Pelodiscus sinensis: one gene and its partner. The protein of the gene in region 2 interacts with the protein of the main gene of each other region in a biochemical or structural test. Links are inferred from orthologs where the notes say so. Each region holds a gene or a part of one and is shown on either strand. Other genes may lie near its edges.

Region 1 (6,940 bases), on a different chromosome or scaffold from region 2:
ATTTTTTTCCTGAAACCACTACCAACAACCATACCAAAGTATAGCAACATTACAGACCTGTGCCCGTTATGTCACCTACTGTAACTTTAAAGGTGAAACTTGGAAGATGTACTTGTCCTTCAGCCTTTTCAAACTCGTACTCAGGAGTGATACCACACTTCGTGCCATATTCATGTAACAACTCAATTGGTGTTTTCCCTGGTTTTGCAACAATCATTTCCTCCAAGCTACAAAGAAAAGATTTATCATTTTAGAAGGGAAATCTGTATTTAGAGCTGATTTTTAAAAAATGGGAATCGCTGTTCCCTGTTTCACTACTGTTACCAACACTTTCAAGAAATTTTAATATTGGCTCCTATGGTACTTTTCATCCACAGATCTACAAGCATTTTACAAAAAAGGGGAAGGCATCATTACGTTGTGGTGGGGAGACAAAGATATAGGGATGCATAGTACTTATCCAAGAGCCCATGGTATAGCATGCTTAGAACACAATGCAGCACCCTTCTCACTAGGCCAATATTATCTCTCAAATTTCCATCTTTTTTTTAATCAGAGGGGTAGCCGTGTTAGTCTGAACCTGCAAAAGTGGCGAGGAGTCCTGTGGCACCTTATAGACTAACTGAAGTGTTGGAGCATAAGCTTTCGTGGGCAAAGACCCACTTCGTCAGATGCATGTAACCTCTGGAAATTTCCACTACATGCATCTGACGAAGTGGGTCTTTGCCCACAAAAGCTTATGCTCCAATACTTCAGTTAGTCTACAAGGTGCCACAGGACTCCTTGCCACTTTTGCATCTTTTTTTACCAGCTCTAGCTACTGTAAAAATAAACTTTCAATGGCTAGGCAGAAGTCTGAGCTTAACCTTGTTTCAAAATGCCCAATAAGAGGCTCTAGAGGTGGGTATGTTGCCCTTAAAACAGTAAGAAAGGAAGAGTATTATAGCTGCAGCAGAGAATGGGAAAAGATTGCAATGGTTGTCAAATTTTATGTATTTATTGGCAATCCTTTCACATAGCAAGCCTCAGTGTGACTCTTCCCCTCCCCCCAAAACACACACACTTAAAAATTAAGACTTTTTTATATTTTACACTATTTTAAAGTAATAGTTGCATGTTAATATCACTTTTCACAGCAGACATGTTAGCTAGCTGGGAGATATGTATTTGCAACCCCCCACATAACATACTTGCAACTCCATGAGGTTGCATGACTCTCCATTTGAGAACTTCCATAATTAGAGGAAAAACAGGTAGCTCAGGCAGTAACAACACAATTAATTTAGAAATACACTCGAAATAAGCTCTGCAATTTGCGTAGCAGAAATTGCATAACTTATTTCCAGCTAAAGGTGCTGTGTAGACGCGCCCTGAGTTAGTTTTGGCTGCTACTGAATTGCACTGATGTTGAATCACCTCCTCATGAAGAGAAGTCTTATCATCTGTGTTTCAAGACAACTTGTCATCCTCCACTTAAGTTATGAAAAAAAATCAAACTGATCTCACTAACTGATAAAAGAAAAATTATCTGATACTGAAAGCCTGTACTGGCAATTAAGGGGAATGGGGACAAAGAATATGTTTTTCAAGTCTGGTGGAAGCTGCATGCTGCTTTAGAGGCAACTTTTCCACAGGTTGATAGGAATGGGGGAAAGAATACATTTTCCAAATAACATTCCAAGCTATTGTTGCTTTCTTCTGATCACCATGACAACTGGGAATGGCTTCAGTTACAACATGGACAAGTGATACAGATACAGAAAGTATTCACTACTTCTCCACAGCAAAGAAACAATCATTGGTGAGAAATATCTGAAGGCAACAGTTCTATAATGTGTGCAAATTCAATCTCTCTCAAACTCAGCAGGTACAAAAGTAAACAGTGTCTGGATAGCTTCTCTCCAACACACACCTAGCTATTTCAGTGATAGAAATATAGCCGTGTTAGCTATTTCAGGAACTGGTGTTTTAGGTGGGGCTACTCACATGCTTAAAGTCAAAGGTGAGTTTGTAGGATCATGGCATACAAACATTATCTTTGTCTGGCTTGGAACATGTACTAGATTTCCTTTTCCCCTCCCTGTATTAATTAAACTAAGCAACTAACTATGTTGCTGTTGGAAGTATCATGACACAAGCTCCTGCGCTTTTGTCAAATTGTCCTATGGCTCCGTTTGCGAAGCTGGGCTGCGGGGCACCAAGTGCTTTGGAGGATCAGGCTCTTACTTGCCAGGGGGGTGATTGACTGTCACTGCACCGATCAGTCTGCCCCTGCTGCTTTGCCCTGAACAAGGTGCGTGGAAGCCCCGGGCCCTGTCTCAGCTCTCACGTTCCCCCTGGGCAGGGACGCTGAGCCCTGTTCACAACGGCTACAGGCGTCAGCTCCGCAGAGAGCGGGGAGGGATCCGCAAAGGGGCTCCGGGTTGCTGAGGGGCAGGGCCAGAGGCGCACCGGCGGCAGCTACACTGGCAGCCCCCGGGAGTCGGGGCTAAGACCCAGGCCGAGGCCCCGCGCCGGCCGCCGAGACTCTGGGAGACCAGGCCGGAGGGCGGGGCGCAGCCGGTGAGCCGCTCTCCCGGGCGGAGGGGAGCAGCGCTTTCCCCGCCCGCTGCGAGGTGACGGCCCGGGCCAGCCCCAGTGGTAACAGGGCGGGGGCTCGCTCCAGCCTCTCCCCCCCCACCAGCAGTTGGTGGCCGCGGCCGCCCGCGCACCGGGAGAAGGGCCCCTAATTACCCACAATGCCCCACTGCGCCCTGACCTGCGGGCCTGGTCCTGCGCCGCCGCCGGGCTCTGCTGGGTCGCGGCCGGGAACGGGAAGGTCTCCTGAGACATGGCCGGGCCGGCCGCCTCCACCTCCGCTACCGCCACCGCGCCCGCCGAGCGCCTCGCCGCGGCCTGTGCTGTGGGCGGGGCCGCGTCGGCGCGTGGTGCGGGGGGGGGCCTCCCCCGCCTGCCGCTGCGGCCCCCCCGCCCATTGCGCTGAGCGCTCCGTGAGGGGCCAGCTCCCCGCATTACGCAGCCTGTGGGCCCAGGCTGGCCGGGGAGTGATGCACAAGCCGCCCCCGCCAAGGGAGCCCCCATTTCTTGCAGCCATTGCAGCCCGCCCTGGGGGGAGCGGTCCGGGCAGGCGCGGGAGGGTTGTAATAAGACAGTACCTGTAAGACACTGAAGTGTGGGCTGGAGTGCGGGGAGGGGGATACCGGGGTGCAGGGAGTCAGCGCCAGGGCTTGAGAGGTGTGAGGGGCAGGGGCTCAGGGCAGGAGTGTGGAGGGGCTGTAGCAGGGCTGGCCTTACCATGAGGCGAACTGTGGTGGCTGCGGCAGGTGCCGGGGGGGGGGGCACCACTAGGACCCAGAGTGTAGAAAATTGTGTCTGCTGCTGGCCCAAGGGAGGGGACCTGGGGGTAGGGTTACCAGATGGTCTCCTAAAAAATACCGAACAGCACCAGCTAAAAATTGGGTGTCCCAGTGGAAAGAAGCAGAAATTCCACCCCAGTCAGTTTTGGCTGAGCACCCACGAAAGGCACCTAAACTCAACTACAAAGCACCTGTGGGCTTCTCTCCTGGACTACAGCGCTACAACGTGCTTGAACAGCGCTCAGGAGCAGGGACAGAGCTTCTCCTCAAGACATCACTCCTCCTCAGAGGCATTCAGCTGAGGGCTCCCAGGGCCAATTGCACCCCCGCCTCCCAGCCACTCTCCCCACCCCCCGCCTGGTTTCTGCACGCAAACAAAGGCTCCCAGCACCAATCAGAGCCCCGCTTCCCAGCCTGGGACTCCCTCTGGTTGAGTGTAGAAGCTAGGCCGCGGGAGTGTGTGGGAGTCTCAGCTACCCCCGTCCCCACCAGGTTTTTGCACGCTACCACAGGCTTCCAGCCCCAATCGCAGCTCTGCCTCCCAGCCACTCCTCTGCCCCTGCCAGGCTTCCGTCCAGCACCCGGCCAGAAAAACAAAATATCGGGCATTGCACATGTCTAGTATTTTCTGAATTTTTTTTACCAGACAGAGGACACAAAAACCAGATTGGTAGAATAGCGGACACCTGGCAACCCTACATGGGGGTGTCTTTTGAGCTACCCGCTTCATGTGCCAAAATGTTGTGGGCCAGCCCTGGAGTGCAGGAGTCCGGGAAGAGGACATGAGGAGAGAGCTCGGGCCTGGGAGTGTAGCCACTGTGCACCTAAGGAAACAAAAGCATCAGCTATTGTATACAATAGGCCAGGGTCTGTGACCTGATCTAAGACTGAAAGCATGTGGTAAGAAAACTTTTCCTTTGAATCAAATGTAGTTATGTTAGCACTTTACCTTTATTTTTCTTGTAACCATTTTTTTTTATTTCTATGGCTCATTACTTGTATTCACTTGAAAGCTCTCTCTTTTTAGTCAATAAAGGTTTTGTATCAAATCCAGTGTGTTCAAGCTGAAGTGTCCAGGTAACTCAGTTGTGTGCATATTAGTCCCTTAAAGCAGGGGTCTCCAAACTACGGCCCGCGGGCCGGATGCGGCCCGCGAGGCCCTCTCATCCGGCCCGTGGAGACCGTCCCTGGGGCGCCGCCGAACGGGCCCTTCTTGCCGCGGTGGGGGGGGGCCCTGTCAGGGGTGTGCGGCGTGTACTCACGCCGCGCCGGGGCAGGAGAAGCGGGCCGCTCCAATGACAAGCGGCCGCGCGGCGGCAAACGGCGCAGGGGCGGGGGTTAGCACGGGCAGCATTCCCCCGCCCAGACTGACAGGGCAGCCGGCCAATCAGGGGGCAGGATGGGCGGTGGTGGTAACGCCCGCCCGGCGACGTGCGGGGGAACGTGAACCCCCGCGGGAACTTTAAAAAGGTGACCCCTGATTTAAATCGATATTAAATTCTTTCAGATCTCTCCTAAAACACCAGATCTAGTGCCTAAAATCAGCTTCTAGGTGAGGAAAAATGTTAATTTTTAATGCTTCATTTGTCCCTTGCTCCTTTTAAGTATTTTTCTCACTCTCTGGATTTCTTCTCGCTGGCCTGAAGGGTGAGTTTTCCCCAGTGCATTAATGCAGTGCCCCATAGCATGTGCCTGGCATGCTGCTAATTTGTTTTTGGAACAAGTACAGGCCAACAACTTGACGCACTTTCAGCAGTGCAAGGTCTTCATGGCTGAAGCAACAGCTGAGTTCCCCACGTCTGAAATATGTGAAGAACAATTTGAGAACAAACTTGTCCGATGATAATCTCAGGTCACTGTTGATGTTAGGGACAACAAATCTAAAGCCAGAAATGTGTGCTATTTTGGCATCCAGGAAACAATTTCACCATTCACACTAATACAGGTGTTCATGTGTAGTGTATCAATGTGTTATTAAATAATAACTGAATAAAATAATATTAAATAAATAATTAAAAACAACATCCATGTTTTGATTGTTTTTTATTTGGACCTCAAGTGTGTAGTCGGCCCCCGAACTGCTGTTTGATAGTTAATGCGGCCCTCGGGCTGAAAAGTTTGGAGACCCCTGCCTTAAAGGAATAATGACTCAGTATATTTGTACTGCTCAAGAGAGGGCTGTGCAGTACAGTACATACATTTCTGGAGGAAAATCTAGGACTGAGACTGTATGTGCTGTCACCCTGCAGCAGTGCTTGGTGACCTAGACAAGTGAATGGGTTGCAAGATTGTTGTAACCATGATGGTTTCCTGGAGTAGGGTAGTTTTGCTAACTGCTCTTCTGTACCTAGAATTTGTGGGTGTGCAGTTTGAACCATAATAGCACTTTGGATGCAGAGGGAACATATGGCTGTCACAGTCAATGTGTATGCATTCAGCACACACCTCACTTCATGTGCTTTTGCTTTACATACATGTCACTTTAATATTGTTAGGAAAAAGCTTACATGAACGGAAACTAGTGGAATCTGGTAACTCCACACTTAGGCAGTGGTAAACAAAATGTATTGTGGACCACACATAGAACTAGGTTGCCCATCATGCTCCACAGCAAAACTAAATCAGTAAGAGCCAAAGCTTGACTGTCTATCTGCAGCACTCATTCAGACATAGCTGGGAGTGATTTACATACTGGTGGTGACCAGTCCAGTTTGGAGTCTACATTGTAAAGGGCATCCCAGGTTATAGGAAAGGGATGACATAGCCAATCATTAGTCGGGATTGTACCTTGATATGTCACTCCTACCAAATGCTGACAAGATCAATCAACCTTCCTTCTCCTCTCCACAGACACACACCACCATCCATGAAGTAACATACTGCTATGTTCCTCTCCCCCTTTCCCATCAAACTCACAGAACAAAATTCACACCTGATCATGTAGGCAATAAAACCCAATAATGTCCTTTCTGATGCAGAAAACATAAATTTCAAGCCCTCATGACCCTAATACACCAACCTGCCAGAAAAGAGTAAACATCAGCAAAGTAAACCCTTTCAGAAGTGAAACCACAAAACACAGCAAAATCCCTACTTCCCTCACCCTATGGAGACACTAGCATACAGTAAATTTGGACAAAGTCCTATTTACTCATCAGCTAAAAAAGTTTAGAAAGGCGCTCACAATCTGAAATGTATTTATTCCAGGCTGAGGTCTTTAACAGAGCTATTATGCAGCCACTACTGAAAGAAGTCTCCTTCCCTTAAAAAAGTGTTAAGTCTTTACACAATTATGTAGCTTAGGTGGCCTGTTCAGGTGAATTCCCATTGGTAATGCACTTTGGGATCCAGCTGGATAAAAGGCACATTAAACAGCAAATATATCACTGTCTTTGCAATCACAACAAAAAAGATTGCAAAATGTAGCAGTCTTTTGATTCTAAAGCAATCATCTTACTTTCAGATAATGGCCTTATACTACTAAAGATCAAGCAAACATCTTTGTATCAGTTTACACAGTTAATGTATTATTCATTGTGCAGGATTAGTTGACATAAGGGAAGCTGTAAAAGCAATATACTGTA
Region 2 (7,666 bases):
AGATTTAGGAATCTGAATTGAGATAATTCTAGTAATTTGGGGAAATATATTATAAGGGGGTTTTTTTAAGTAAAGTAGCAAACAAAAAGCCAGGAAAACAACAAATAAAAAGTGTACAGTGTGTTTTATTGTATAAGTGCACTCAAACAAAACAATGTAAAACTTTTGGACTTGTAGGTTCTCTCAATCCCACTCTTCCTGAGCTAATTGGTAAAACAAGCTAATCTGTTTACATTCACTGGCAATAATGCTATCCACTTAGGGTTTACAATGTCACTTGAAAGTGAGTACACACATTTCTCTGATACTTTAGTAGCCAGTGTTGCAAGCTATTTACATGCCAGACAGAAAAATTTCATTAAAGCTACTGTTTCAAATAAAGTTCACATCACACTAATTAAGAAGGAAAGCACTATACATCTGGGGTCAAGCTTAGATTATGGGAAGTTATAAGAATAGGTTTACACAGTTCGTGAGATACATAGCATACGTAACCAGCATTGTCCCAGCTTGAGGTATGTGAATTTTTTAAAGCAGCAGAGAATACGTAGTCCTGGGAATACAGAACCACAAGGCTACAGAACCAGAGTCCATTCTGGTGAAGCACCTGGGTGGAGTGCATCCCTTGTTCCTCTGGTGTCTTGTGGATCTTGCTAAAACATTCTTATGCTTCTTCATTCTTTGACCACCATTCCTGCTGATGACTCTTGTTTAAAAAAAATGCATTCATTAAATTTGTGACTGAACTCCTTGGGGGGAGAATTGTATGTCATGCCAAAGAAGGAACCAATATGAGATATTAAAAGATGGCTACAATAGTCGAATCAAAGTTTAAGAATCTGAAGTGCCTTCCAAAATCTGAGTGGGACAAGGTGTGAAACATGTGGTCTAAAGTCTTTAAAAAAGCAACATTTTTATTCTGAAACTTCAGCACCTAAATCACCAAAAAATAAAACCAATCTTCTGCTGACAGCTTCTGACTCTGATGACAAAAATGAACGTGTGTCAGTCCACAGTGCTTTGGAGCATTATCAAGCAAAACCCATTGTCAGCATGGAAGCATGTCCTCAGGAACTGTGTCAGAAGCACGAAGGGGGATACAAATGTTTAGCATATATGGCATTTTGCAATACCAGCTACAACAGTGCCATAGGAATGCCTTTTCTCACTTTCAGGTGACATTGTAAATAAGAAGAGAGCAGCATTATCTCCCATAAATGTAAACAAACAAGTTAGTCTTAGTGATTGGATGAACAATAAGTAGGACTGAGTGGACCTGTAGACTTTAAGTTTTACATTGTTTTGGTTTTGACTGTAGGGATCGCATTACCGTACTTGTATAAAGTGAACTAAAAATACAGTTTATTTTGTTTATTTTACAATGCAAATATTTGTAATCAAAATATAGAGTGAGCAAATTTTGAATAATGTGTCAGTAGTAGGAATGATAAAAAGTACATTCTTTTGTAAACATGTAACTGCTGAAATTTTTCAGTGGTTACATGTTTACCTGTGGGGAGGGGAGGTGCGGCTCTGAAAAGCTGGCTCTCCATGAGCACCAGCTTCCATCTGCTCCCCCAAACTGCTTCCTCTGATATAGAGCACAGGGGAGAGCCATATTGTAGAATGATCACTGCAAGCAGCTGTACCATTGCTATGAGTGGCTAGCTGGTGACAGGGCTCATCATCTTGCCTGCCACTGCTCCAGGTAAGTGGGAGACTGCCGCAGCCAGCCCCCCTCGATAGCTCCAGAGAGATTGGGAGCAGGGCAAAAGCCCCCATCCAGGCTCTCCCTGGTGCCCAGGGAGAAACTGGGCAAAAGCCCCTGCTGAGCTCCCCCTTTGAGCCCCAGGAGGGGTTGGGGACAGGGCAAAAGACCCCGTCAGGCTTCCGCCCCCGAGAGGGCAAAAGCCCCTACCAGGCCCACACTGCCAACCCCCTGCCCTGAAAGACTCAGGCAACATCCGGGAAGTCTTCTAGTAACTATATATCCAAATTGTTTTCTCCCTCCCTGTACTCCCTTGGATGTAGAAATGACTTTTTCAATATTATAAACTTTTCAAAACTGCAGGACTTCAAATCCATTGTTGTGAATGGGTACCTATTGGCCTGTATTTCAGAGATATGAATTGTAAGCATACCTCTCCTTTCCCCGCAGTTTGTCACTTCCAAAGCAATAACTGCATTCACTTCTACTCAGAGGGCTGCTGGCCACTGTCCTGGGACTTATACTTTGCACCTGTAAGGGGAACAGAAGTCACTAGCACCTTCCCTTGACAGGTGACTTCCGGGTAGTCCCCAGCACTGCTCCTATTTCCTGGGCATGTTGTCACACAGCTGCAGTCTGGGATGCCAAGTATAATGCTAAGTCCGCTCTTTGGCTTTTTTCAGTTTCCAGAGATAGCAATGCCAGGTTTAGCATATCCATATATACAATACAGAACAGGACCAGAAGCCCAGATCGTGATCACCCCAACCCTGGCTGTGTGGGTCAAGCTCCAGCCTGTTCCAATTCACACTCTGCGTCCTAGAGCCCAGAGGGGGCTCTGGGAAGAAGAGGAAAAGACCCAGCACTAGCGCACCCTACCTCATCCCCGCCTCCTACCCCTGCCCCCAGCCTCCCTCTCCAGTCTGGGTCCGCAGGGACCAGCACAGCGGCGCGGGCCAACACCAAGGTCATCGACACACACACCCCTCGACCCTTTGCAGGAGCCTGCCCGGCTGAGGGTCACTCGCCCCCACCCCACCCTCGGGGCCTCCCTCTGAGCTTGCACCGCCTCGAGCCCTCCCGCCGGCCCGGCCACTCACCAGCCGCGCAGCACCCCGGCCGGCCCGCGCTCACTGCGGCAAGGGACTGGAAGTGGCGGCAGCTCAGCCCCGTCTGTTTCGTTTCCTCGCGGCGGCTTCCCCGGGCCGCCTCGCTCCTCCCACTCCGGCTCCGCGCCGGAATCGAAACCAAAAGCAGGCGCCGCCGCCCGCGGGCCCGGCTGCTCCTCGGGTGGCTGGAGCCCCGCGGGCCAGCAGGGGAGGCGGGCTGGGGCGGCCCCTCCTAGGCAGCCCGAGCCCAGCCTCGCCCCGCCTTCCCCTTTCACGGAGCAGCCGGGCCCAGGGCTCCTCGGTTCCCCCCCTCAAGCCCCCAAATTCAGCCGCCTGCTTCTCCCTGCTCTGACTCCGCTTCTCTCCGGGCCCAGCGCCCGCCCTTCTTCCTTTAGCCTTTTTCTTCTGAGCGCCCGCAAGCCCCACTCCCACCCCCACTCCCGCCGCCGGCTCTCCCTCCACCCCCACCCCAGAAGGAGCAGAGGAGAGGGGGAAAGTCCCCTGCGGGCTACCCAGGCTGGGGAAGGAGATAGGGCGAAAACCTGCTGCCTCCTCTCCCAGCCCCCAGGAATAAACCAGCAAGCAGGATGGTGCCTCCCCCTCACGCACCCAGGACAAGTCGATGGATGGGGTGCGCTCCCCTCCCCCCCGCTAGTCTGCAGAGAAGCAGGAGGACGGGGTGTGCAGCCCCCTCCTGTCCCATGGACAGGTTGGCGGCACGATGTACTGTCCCTGCCAGCCCAGCCCGCCCCCCTGGGGAGAAGCCAGCCACCTGCATTCTTCTGCCCTGAGCCCTCCTACTCCCCTCAGCTCACCCTTCTCCCAACCCCATGCCCTGATTCCTGCATCCCCACCTCTGTCCGCCTCACCCTCACTCTGGCACCTCACGCATCCCAAACCCTCTGCCTGAACTCCTCCTCAAGCCCCCACCCTGACTCCTGCACCCCTCACCTCTGCCTTCCTGCCCTGAGCCCCCCACATACTCAGGGCACTTCCCCAATTGCCACACTCCCCGCACTGCCAGCCTTCTGCCCTGAAAGACCCAGGAAATGCTGGGTAAGCCTAGTTTGACAAATGTCAGCGAAGTTAATCAAATATTAGAGTTGCCATACTTACATTAAGGAATGAAGGATGAGAAAGTTCGCTAACGTCTGTAAAAATGGTGACGAGAAGATGTGTTCAAAATGGATGGGCACAGCAGCCAAGAGCAACACTCTCCTATATCTCCCATTCATAGTATGTGTGTAGGAAGAGGGTCCCTTAAGATTAAACCTGCCTATCTATATATGTTAGAGCTTTTATGAGTCTGTTTGTGAGTCCGTCCATCTGTGAGTCAATTTGTTCAAGAACTCCTAAATGACAAGAGCTAGGGCCACCAAATTTGGTATGCAAATGTCACTGAGGAGAGGAAAGTCATTGGGGCCCTGCTCCCCCTCATCCACAGTCAGATGTGATTCAGCCAGCCCACAGAACGAAAGGTTTATTAGTTGACAGAGATACAGCATAGAACAGACTTGTCAGCACGGAAACCAGAAGCAGTCAGTACAATCCATCTTGGGGACAGGGTGCTCAGAGTCCCTCATCCCATCTCTGCATCCCAAGCCAGCAAGGGCCCTCACCCCCATCTCTGCACCCCAAGCCAGCAAGTCCAACTTTTGCACTCAACAGCCTCTATCAGCCCTGCAGCTGGCCCCACTTCCAGCCTTTGTCCTGCTTCTCCAGGCAAAGGGTGGCATCAAGTCACACTCCCTCCTAGGCTTGAGTAGGGTATGTCTACACTGCATTCCTCTTTCGAGAGAGGAATGCAAATGCAGATGAATGAAATTACAAATGAAGTGTGGATTTGAATTTCCCACGCTTCATTTGCATAATTGCGTCCGGGCACTATTTCAAAATACCCTATTTTGAAAAAAGAAACGCTGTCTAGACGCAGTTATTTTTAAAGAAAACCCTTCTTTCGAAATAACTCTTAAACTTAACCTAACATGACCCCCCAGAAGAGACATCCTCTCCCAAGGAGAAGCAGAAAACAGTGGCTCAGTCCCCTCCTTTGAGGAGACTGCAGCCTAGTCCTCCCCCCCATTGGAGGGTGTGTGAGGGGGGACAGCTGGAAGCTGAGGCCAGCCTTCCCCCCAGACAGCATGGAGGTAGGGGGGAGCCGGAGGCTGGGACCATCCTGTGGAACCCCAGCATCTCCCCAGACAAGCTGAAGGTTGCAACCAGCTGGGGACTGCAGCCCCAGTCCATGGGAGAAGCCACCAGCCAGGACATGCAGTCCCAGCCCCCACTCCCAGGAGACAGAATGCTAAGTTTGGTCCATTGCTACACATTTTAGTTTTAGAATTTGAGAAACTAGCAGTAGTCAGTGATAGAAATGTAGCCGTGTTAGTCTGGTGTAGCTGAATCAAAAAACCGAACTATGTAGCACTTTAAAGACTAACAAGATGGTTATTAGGTGATGAGCTTTCGTGGGCCAGACCCACTTCCTCAGATCAAATAGTGGAAGAAAATTGTCACAATTGTGACAATTTTCTTCCACTATTTGATCTGAGGAAGTGGGTCTGGCCCACGAAAGCTCATCACCTAATAAACCATTGTGACAATTTTCTTCCACTATTTGATCTGAGGAAGTGGGTCTGGCCCACGAAAGCTCATCACCTAATAAATGATCTTGTTAGTCTTTAAAGTGCTACATAGTCTTGTTTTTTGATTTAGCAGTAGTCACACATGGTAGTTCTGTTTCTGTCCAGCAGAGGGTAGCAGTACACAGGCAAACATCACTGGTACCAACACACAGAGATGACAAAACATTGCATGTTTTTCCAGTTATAGACTAACTCGACTGCCCCCTAAAGCTATTGCTAATTTATTTGTGTAACACTCCTGAGACCCTTTGATATTAGAGCAGTAACTCTCTAACAATTTGTATAGCGTGGGCGAGTGCTGAAAACCAATGAAAAAAAACATAAACCCTGTATATGATGTAAACCACATTCAGCCAGTGGGTGCTGCTGCATCCCTAGAACTCCTATAAGAGAGAGCCTCAAAGATGGCTGGAAATGTTTTTCCCCCTTTTCCTTCACCACTAGATGTGCTTCTGACATAGGACTTCTACTCACTATTTTTATCGAATATCAACACTATTTTCATACCCAGACCTCTCCCATTTACATCTCTTACCAGCTAAAGTATTGTGCCCAGAGCCCTCTTCAGAATGAGGTGACTCCATAACAGTCTCTATAGTTGCAGAAGCATCAGTCAGGTATGACCAGGGCCTTCTTTCAACAGCTTTTTAAAAATTACTCCATAGTTATATTCTACCATCAGGGAAAGGAGAGGTTTTTTTCTCTAGCTTGTTGAGATCGCTTCATGTTCCTAACATGACTAACATCAACACCTTACTTCAATTGGCAACTTTTGCTACCTCATTCACCTCCCTTTTTTGTCAGCAATAATCATATTAAACAACACCAGACAAAACCCGAAGACACTCTGCCTTAACCTTTTGCCAGGATGAATACTGACCATCAGCTCAAATCAATGAACTCTAAGGGCATGTCTACAGTGCAGGGCAAAAGTCAAATTAACATACGCAACTTCAGCTGTGTCAATTGCGTAGCTGAAGTCGAAATAGCTTAATTTGGCTTTTGGCTCTGTCTACACAGCAGGAAGTCAAAGGAAGAACACTTTTCTGTTGACTTCCCTTACTCCTTGTGAAATGAGGATTACAGGACTCAGAATAAGAAGTCTTCCATCTCAAAATTATTTCAAAATAACAGATTGCGGTGTAGATGCACACTTTGTTATTTCAAAATAACGTCAGTTATTCCAAAGTAACACTGCTGTGTAGACATACCTTAAAGGAATTTCATACAAGGCCACAGAAAACATAGGATGTGTTTAGGACCAAATTAACTACTGAAGCTGATCATCCAAAAAAATGTTCAAGGTGTTTAACACCCAGAGCATTCAGAAAGTTTGGATCTAGAGCAGAGCTCAGTTTGAAATAATGGCAGATTAAGAAAAAAAAATCTCAAATAGGCACAGAAACTTTGATATACTAGTCATATGTTCTACATATTCAGCTAAATGCTTCTGTCACGTCTATATAGGCCTAATAGCAGAATTTGGCCCATTATTTACTGAGTTCTCATTATTTCTTTATTTTGCAAATTCATTTGTGAAAGTCTAAATCATTTGAATCTATGCATTCCCAAATGTGAAAGGCAATGAAATACGTGATAATGTAGCATCAGAACGAAGTTAAGATTTAGTATTTGCAGTATTTATCATATTTTAGCTTTGCTCCCAGTTCAGTTCCCGCTGAACACTCTTCAAATTTGGCATCCATTTTCTGGCTCTGAGCTTCAGTAAAGAGGTTCTTCCAATCTCCAATGCCACCTGCACATGAACAATGAAATAAATTATAACATCACAGGTGAAGGGTCCTTATTAAACTTATCCACCTGAAGGTGTGTGTGGAGGGGGGGAACCCGGGTCCATTGGCCACTTGACCAGTCCTCCACCCCAGGCTCTCCATCCTCCAGCCGCTCTCCCCCATGCCCATGGGAAGCAGCCACTCACCAAATGGCAGCCAACAGCAATGCAACATTACAGGGGTGGGAGGACTCAGGAGAAGGGGGCAGCACAGCCATGCAGCCAGCTGCCAGAGAGAAGCAATGCTCTACTGCTTCAACTTGCTGCTTTTTCTTGCGAGCTGTGCAGCTTGTGGGCTCTCCATCCCCTGGCCACACCCATCCCCACCGCGGGCAACCACGGCCAGCCACTCTCCCCAACCTGTGGACAGCCACCACTCACCAGAAGGCAGCCAGCAGCATGATCACGGGCT

What was found.
Region 1: the proteins of EIF2AK2 (region 2) and PRKRA form a complex in vitro, tested with the Homo sapiens proteins (3 studies listed by BioGRID and IntAct, with this or other methods). The link is inferred for Pelodiscus sinensis from reciprocal best matches to the Homo sapiens genes EIF2AK2 and PRKRA.

The regions. Positions count from the first base shown.
Region 1 is NC_134717.1:46,432,270-46,439,209, forward strand, and holds the start of PRKRA (interferon-inducible double-stranded RNA-dependent protein kinase activator A), read right to left. Parts: upstream 3,074-6,940; 5' UTR 3,013-3,073; coding exon 2,759-3,012; exon of another isoform or gene 2,734-2,758; intron 2,675-2,733; exon of another isoform or gene 2,227-2,674; intron 1,802-2,226; coding exon of another isoform or gene 1,721-1,801; exon of another isoform or gene 1,355-1,720; intron 228-1,354; coding exon 58-227; intron 1-57. Other genes in the region: PJVK (pejvakin), read left to right, coding at 1,721-1,801. UniProt on the Homo sapiens protein: Activates EIF2AK2/PKR in the absence of double-stranded RNA (dsRNA), leading to phosphorylation of EIF2S1/EFI2-alpha and inhibition of translation and induction of apoptosis.
Region 2 is NC_134713.1:137,314,002-137,321,667, forward strand, and holds the start of EIF2AK2 (interferon-induced, double-stranded RNA-activated protein kinase), read right to left. Parts: upstream 3,041-7,666; 5' UTR 2,809-3,040; intron 2,240-2,808; exon of another isoform or gene 2,142-2,239; intron 1-2,141. Other genes in the region: sulfotransferase 6B1-like, read right to left, coding at 7,088-7,218.